Arabidopsis thaliana: one gene and its partner. The protein of the gene in region 2 interacts with the protein of the main gene of each other region in a pairwise test. Each region holds a gene or a part of one and is shown on either strand. Other genes may lie near its edges.

Evidence for each region.
Region 1: the proteins of AT5G52750 (region 2) and AT1G17080 interact in a two-hybrid assay, tested with the Arabidopsis thaliana proteins (one large-scale study listed by BioGRID).

The regions. Positions count from the first base shown.
Region 1 is NC_003070.9:5,839,642-5,843,888, forward strand, and holds AT1G17080 (Ribosomal protein L18ae family), read right to left. Parts: upstream 2,105-4,247; 5' UTR 1,896-2,104; coding exon 1,688-1,895; intron 1,271-1,687; coding exon 1,192-1,270; intron 1,100-1,191; coding exon 982-1,099; intron 877-981; coding exon 817-876; 3' UTR 628-816; downstream 1-627. Other genes in the region: STIPL1 (GC-rich sequence DNA-binding factor-like protein with Tuftelin interacting domain-containing protein), read left to right, coding at 1-561; AT1G17090 (uncharacterized protein), read right to left, coding at 2,823-3,104.
Region 2 is NC_003076.8:21,382,222-21,385,846, reverse strand, and holds AT5G52750 (Heavy metal transport/detoxification superfamily protein), read right to left. Parts: upstream 1,831-3,625; 5' UTR 1,714-1,830; coding exon 1,702-1,713; exon of another isoform or gene 1,554-1,701; coding exon 1,478-1,553; intron 1,384-1,477; coding exon 1,052-1,383; 3' UTR 832-1,051; downstream 1-831. Other genes in the region: AT5G52740 (Copper transport protein family), read right to left, coding at 2,667-2,941, 3,087-3,162, 3,312-3,317. UniProt on the Arabidopsis thaliana protein: Probable heavy-metal-binding protein.

The DNA of each region.
Region 1 (4,247 bases), on a different chromosome or scaffold from region 2:
TCTGCAGTACCCATACATCTAATGGCTGATATGATGGAGAGGTTCTTCTTCCCCAAATGGCTGGATGTGTTGTACCATTGGTTGCGTGCTAAACCAAGGTTCGAAGAGATCCAGGGATGGTATTATGGTTGGAAAGAGTTATTCCCGCAAGAGCTTACAGCAAATGAGAGGATCCGAATTCAGTTAAAGCGTGGTTTAGATATGTTGATGGAAGCTGTTGAAGGAGTTGAAGTGTCTCAGCCAAGAGCAAAGGCAAATGAGCGTACACAGTCCGTGCCGGCTCAGGCTCAAGCTCAGGCCAAGGCTCAGATGGATAGCACTGAAGTGTTGAGTTTGAAAGAAGTCTTGGAAGTATTTGCGCAAGAGCAGGAGTTGCTGTTCAAACCTAAACCGAATAGAATGCACAATGGTCTTCAGATATATGGGTTTGGGAATGTGAGTGTCATTATAGACTCAGTGAACCAGAAGCTGTTGGCTCAGAAAGATGGCGGTTGGTTTCTTGTAACCCCTGATGACTTATTGAGGATGCACAACAATACAACTGTTTCTGCAAAAAGATAGTTTCATTTCATTTTGTAAGTTTCCTGATGTAAAAACCATCTTCAATCTCATCACATTTTGTCTCTCTGTCTTAAATTTCATATCTTTGACTTCTTCTTATTTAGATAACAAAACTCAAATAATTCTTGTGAAGTTTACACTTTTTTTTTTCTTGTTTCTTCATAGAGTAAGTAAAAAAGGAAGTAGATAATACAACACACGATAAAGAAACCTATACAAACATTTTTAGAGTAACCCCACAAGATGATTGATCCATCACCAGTCGTCTGCTCCTTTAGATACACCCAGAATCACAGCGATTGTTGCTAGAATAGCCTGCAACGTTTAGACATGAATCAATTTAATTTAATTTGTCGGGAGTCCAATGGGATATAAGGAAAAACGAGAGAAGATAAGGACAGAGAGTAGAAGAAATATTACAGCGATAGTGCAGGCAATGTATCCTGGTTTCTCCCTGTAATCGATTCTCCTTCCAAACATCATGATGAACAATCCGACATACCAAGGGATTGCTCCAAGGAAAAATCCAACAATGAACCTTCCACAAGACCAAATATTTTCTCAGGCATGTGAAGAGAGAGGGAGATTCAGAAAATACTAAGCTCGTGTTTGAAGTAGAAATGAACTTACAGGAACCATCCAAGACCAATTCCACAGCAAGGAAGGCGACGTTGTCTGACAGGTCTTCCTTCAGCAACACCACCATGGACTGAAAAATACAACAATCAAGAAAGAGTAAACATAAGAACGGTTGAACACACATCTATTTATGCTCTTGACTTGGATTTGAACAAGAAGAAGAAGAGAAAATGAGACACTACATAAGCCTTACAAATTTTCCATAGCACAAACCAATACAACCTAACTAATTAACTGAGCTGTTCCTAGAAGTAATCAAAGCTCTCCAAACTTTATAATTCTCATCAAAGCTTGTTATAACATTTTGATTAAAACAAAGAACAACCCCAAAACTTGTTTCTATAGCTAAACAAACACGATCCCGTAATCAAATTAGAATCTTATGAAGACAATGAATGATCACTATTAATTTTACAACAGTTCAACCTAAATTCCCAAATCTGCTAAAATATGAAATCAGAATATCCAATACAGGAAGTGAAGCTACCTGGAACAGTTTGATATCCATGAGCGTAATAAGGAGCTCCAGAATCGTAAACGCCAGGTGGCGCAGAAGGTTGAGGAAACCCAGTGACCGGAGCAGAATTCTGCGGCGGAGGGTAATTGGAAACACCTTGAAAGGTACCGTATTGATGATGCTGGTTACCTTCTTCCGAAGCAAATCCTTTGCTTTTATCTTCTTCTCCGTGACCCATCTCTTTCTCCGTGATCTGATCGCTCTTTCTGATTCAATCGAGATTGAAGCGTTGAATCAATTTGAAGAAGAAGTCTCTTTTTTTTTTTTTTTTGGTTAAAACACTTTTAATTATTTGCTGTCAGACCCCAGATAACGCGTATTTCCGAAAATTGGCCCGGAGTTATTATTATATGCTTTTACAAACCGACTGCAATGTTTGACATTAATACGATTGCTATTCATACTAATAAGAAAGTTTTGAAAATATAATTTATGAAGAAACATGTGGTTAGGGTATAATAAATATTAAATGCATCCGTCGAAGCTTCGAGTTCTTGGAAATGATTATGAAATTAACTAATGTTCTTTATCATCCATGAATATGATTTATCATCTTCAATCATTTTTATACAATTAGGCAATGGAAACTATAATACAGAACAGAGAATTTTATCAGTAGTCTGTCACTATAAGCATTTCGTTGTCCTTGTTTTTAATTTTAAATATCTATTTCAAGTTTTTTAATTGTCACTTTTGTCAACTAACAACATCGTTGTTAAACTTTTTATTACTTTCTTTGAGTGGAATTTTTTTCTCTTCTTCTTTCACGCTAAGTAGAGGCAGCCTTTAATTCTCAGCCTCCAAAGAAACGTAAACCTTGAAAATTAAACTTAATCAAGAAATATATGCACCACAAATTAAACAATATAACTTTGAACTTTCCACAAATTTGTGCACCACCACCATTCAATTTACATATGCTTTTTGCAGACTGTATAATTTCTTTCATATGATACACATGAAACAAAAACAAAAATCTGGATTCCGCATAAGATGGATACTCTCGATCTATGGATTTAACCATTTACAAGTAGGAATGATCATAAGACAAAATTGCAAAAGCAAGAGGAGAATTGTGTAATGGAAATAGAAGCCAACCTTTGTTTCAACAAGCACAAATATCCTCATGAGAGCAATCTTGGCCACCATCATCATCATCAGTGGAGTCAGATAATTCTTGGTTACTAGAGACTGTAATGATCATTACCTTCTCATCTGGTTTAGCTTCCTCTGGTTCAATAAGATTCTTCCTGAGATCACTGAAATCCTGGTTTTCATCTTTCATGGAGCTCTGAAGAATGGAGAAGCAAGTGAAACAAGAAAACACTAAATTGATTGCAAACAAGGAGATGCAGAAGATCACGACGATACAATTGTAAGCATCCATTCTTCTTGGAAACTGAGCATGATGGTTGTTGGTTTACAACAAAAACCAGAATCGTTCAAATGGAGAAATCAAAAGTATTATTCACTTGAAAAGTGATTTGATTCTCTGGTCCCCTACACAGATATATAAGAAGAAAGCTCAAATCTGAATGTTTGGTGAGCTTACAACAACAATCTCTTATAAGAAGCAAACAAAAAGGATAAAGAAAACAATATTATTTTTTTGGGTCTGCGGTGGAGAAGATTTTTCAACAGATAAAGGTGGCAAGCATGACAAAAGCATTTGTCTCTTTCTTTCTTTTCCCACCAAATTCATATAAATAAAGATATTATGTTTTGCTAAAAAAGTACATATTACTAAATTCTAAACAACTTCAAATAATAAGCAACATAATATGAAAGGGAGAGATCATCTTCTCTTATATATGAATTGCGTTAATTAGTATTGCAGAGTATTTGATTTTACCTGCACATTTTCAATCAGAGAGTCGCAATAGCATCTGAAGAGACCATCACCACCTGTCTATATCAGTGAAAGGTTCAGGGTTTGCGATTTAAATCTGAAGTATGACAAAAAACCATTTGTTTATAAAGATTATCTGATGTTAGCATTCAATATGTAGCTTGAGTGTGGATAATAATCTATTAAGGATTTGAAGGTTTCTTGGTTTGAAGTAAACATCAAAGAGGCCTTACTACGTACAAAACTTCATTTAAAAAGACATAGTTTGTGGCAATCCGAATTAGTAAACTAGACTTGTTCTTCGACTTATCTAATTCATAAATAATTTATCACAATAAGCTCACAACTTATCATTGACTACTTGCATTATGCAATCTAGAAATACTAAGGATTATAAAGAACAATTTGTTGAAGACAGCTATCAAATTTAAAAGCCATGAACAACAAAATATAGAATACAAAAACACTAATATATTTTTCCCAATTCGTACAACAAGAAACCTATAATATTGTTTTAAAGACATCTTTGCATCAACACACAATTGACATTTGATCAACCAAGTCAACTCTTTTTTAAAAACATGGCAAGATGATGATACAAGAACATGTCAAATAAGTTCTACAAAATACCAAAAAAAAAACAATGCAGAAAAAGAGAATTCAGATGAGTAAGGCAGAGAG
Region 2 (3,625 bases):
ATAATTAGAAGTGTTAATCTCATTAAATATATAAAAATGTACTAAATACCTTCATTTTCTAATATACTCACACGTTTCTTTGGTTTGTCTGATACAGTATCATTTGAAGATACTTTAACTTTTATATCCAGTATAATTGATCAACTTAACATTCATGATCCTAGCAATTCATTTATGCAGCTTTTTTTCATGGCGAGCCATTCTATATGCATCATACTTGTATTACACATTTCTTACCCACAATTCTTTGGTTGCGCAACGAAAACAAAATTCGCAGACAAAAAAAACATAATTCTTAATTTGTAATTTTAAAATACTAATAGATTAACACAAATTTTAATTTGTATTTTAAACGATTACTTTAATAACACATGATTTAAACTAAAATTTTAGAAGTCATGACTTAAAAGTAACACAAGAGTTTTGTTAGATTTCAAAATCAACTCAATGCATGAATCCAATTTTTTTTTTTTTAATCTGTAAATGTGCGATTTATATTTGAAAAATGGTAAGAAGACTCGGATAATACTGCTATTTCATAGTCAAGAAAGGAAATGTCCTCGAAAGCCTCAGTTTACATGTGGATCCCTCCAAGTAGGAATTTTATTGATTAGTATTTGTTTTGCTAAAGGAGACTTTCAGATCTTGACTCTCTACATCACATCTTTACTAATATCTCATTCTCTAATTGTTTCAAAATTATTTTAGTTTTGGACAATTGAATGTATTACGTGAACGATCTTGGTACTTGATATTCATAAATAAGTTGAGAGCGACTTAACTATGTGTGTGTGTGTGTGATATTTTTGTATCCATTTGATTAGTATATAAGCAAAAGACAAAGTATAGAGAATAATATTCTGTATAGGAAAAAGATCAACTATTACTAAATGATTAAAAGTTAAAGTTAACAAAACGTATAAAGATCAAATTTATCATACAGTAACATAAATTTTTCTGAATAAGCTCATATGAGAAATGTATATTACAGTAGCTAAAAAATTACACTCTTCCATCAAAACTAACTTAACACATTATTTGAAATAAGTTATCACATAATCACACAATTTGATTCGTCCGTTACAAATCTAGAGTTCCCATATGGTTGATAGTAAGAATTTGCATAGGCAGGATTGTATTGGTAAGGGTTGTTCATCTGAACCGGCCAGGCAACAATTTCAGCCGGTTTAGCTGGAGCTGGAGCTGGTTTAGGTGGAGCCGGTTTCTCTGGTTCAGGCTTTTTCTCAGGTGGTTTAACAACTTCAACCGAAACAAGCTCTGTGTTACATAGCTTCCTTAGCTTCATCACGATAACCGGTACATCAACTTCACCAACTACTGTCATTTTCCCGGTTTTGTCATCCATTGTTATCGAAGTAACACCTATTTAGACAAAAGAAAAAAACATGAATATAAGTTCATTTTCCAAACAATATATCATGTTATAAATTTCGAAAAATGTAACTAATAAAGTTACCTGGACATCGAGAAACGGTGACAAACGCTTTCTTCCTGATTCTTTCCTCGTGAATGCTCAATTGCAACACAGCTTTCTGTTATTTCAAAACAGAGATCAGTATGGTTAATTACATATTTTCAACCTGATTAACATAACTATATATAGTCAAATAGTATTTATATACAAACGATTATTCAACGCATAATTATTTTAAGAGATATCATAGGAAAAAGAAGGCGTACCATTGGAGGCATGGCTCGAGATCAACTATAGAAAAGCTTCAGAAATTTCCAATATTCTTAAGAGAAAGAGAGAGAAGAGAGATGATCTAAGATATGAAATGATGACAATAGCAAGTCTACTGAAATCGGTTTAAATAGAAATTGCCAAGGAATTTGCAAGTATTATTATATATGACCCACAAGGCCACAAGGGAAAGTTTTTGTATTTTTTAAATAAAAATAGTATTGCAATAACGACCACAAAGAGGTTAAAGTAGTCATTCAGAATGACTCATTCTCTACCAATTTTATATTTATTTTTATGATTTGGTTGAAAATTAATTTGAGTCTAACGAACACAAAAGGAAGTGTAGTTTTCAGAATTCCGCGTGTACGACCCGGACAACGTTGATTTGTGGTTGGACCTTATTGACTTCTTCGGTCATAAGAACTTCTCAAGCAAGTTCTCTAGGTAAAAGTTGAATCATATCAAAACCAAAGCTGAAATCGAAATCAAACCGAGATTAAAGTCACAATGTTTCATTCATAAATTTTGTTTTTAAAGATGTACTTTATTTACCTCTTACGTAGTTTCTTCTTTTTAAATAAAGTAAAATATAATTGTGGAGCAGTCTACTTAGATTACTGTTATATATTACTATAAGATCACTAGATATCTAATTTTATTTTTTATGAAACAAAATCATTTGAATTAGACGTATATAACCTAGTGATTTGTGTTAAATATGGTCAATTAATGCGTCGTCATCTAAATTTAAATGCATGTTATTAACAAGAAAACAAAAAAGGAATTAAAACAAGAAATGGGCCTGGGAGTGGCAACCTTGGTCTAGTCATGTTGAGTGTGTATAATGGACTGGACTGAAAGAGTTAAAACAATCACAATAGAACAAAACCAAAGACTACGACGAAGCTGATGAGTGATGACTATCGTGAACCAAACTGATCCGACCAAAATATTGTTTTCAAGAGGTGACGCAAGCGTTGGGATCTTCATTGTAACATCCGTTGAAATTATGGTAATAAGGTGGACATGGAGGGACATAATGATAAATGACATCTGGTGGCTTCGTTTCAGGCTTCTTCGGATCATCAGGCTTCTTCTTCTCTGGTTCTTTAACCGGTCCAACCGATATAAACTCGGTATGACATATCTTCTTCAATTTCTTCACAATCATATAGGCATCAATCTCTCCCGTCACCGTTAGTTTACCATCTTTCACCTCCACCGAGTTAACTCCTTCAATACCAAAAGAAAAAATAATCCTTCAATACAAAAAAAAATCAAAATGTACTTAATTATGATTTAATCAATTGATTAAGAGAATTTAGAGGCTTATGAGTAAAAAAAATATATATTAGCAATTGATGAGTGTTGTTTATACCTGAGAGACAACATACAGTTGACATAGCTTTTTGTTTGGTTTTTTCACAATGAACATCTAATTTCAGTACAACTACCTGTCATGAAAATATTAATTATGGTAAAGAGCTAATTAGGGTAGAATTATGACATTTGATATATAAGCAATAAAAAAATATTCGGAAAAATTATTACAAGCTTCCAATTAAGAAACATAGATTAGGAAAATATATATAAAGAATCGAACCTGCATGTTTTTCTTCAATTAGTGTTTGGAAAATATGAAAAAGTCTTAGATTACTAATGAGCTTTGAAAGTGTCCCTCCTTTCCTTAGTCCTTTATATAAGCAGCTGCAAGTTGCAGGGCATGAAAAAGACAAGGATATACTAATTCACACCAATTTTCCTATAACGTTGAAAATGGAAAAAAATCAAGTATATGTCTCAAGTGTTACTTGGTGTAACTTATTGCTTCTCCATGCATACACAATAATTATTAAACTTTTAAAAATAATTTAAAGTTAAAATAACACGTTTTCTTCGTCCTTTAAACATTAAAGC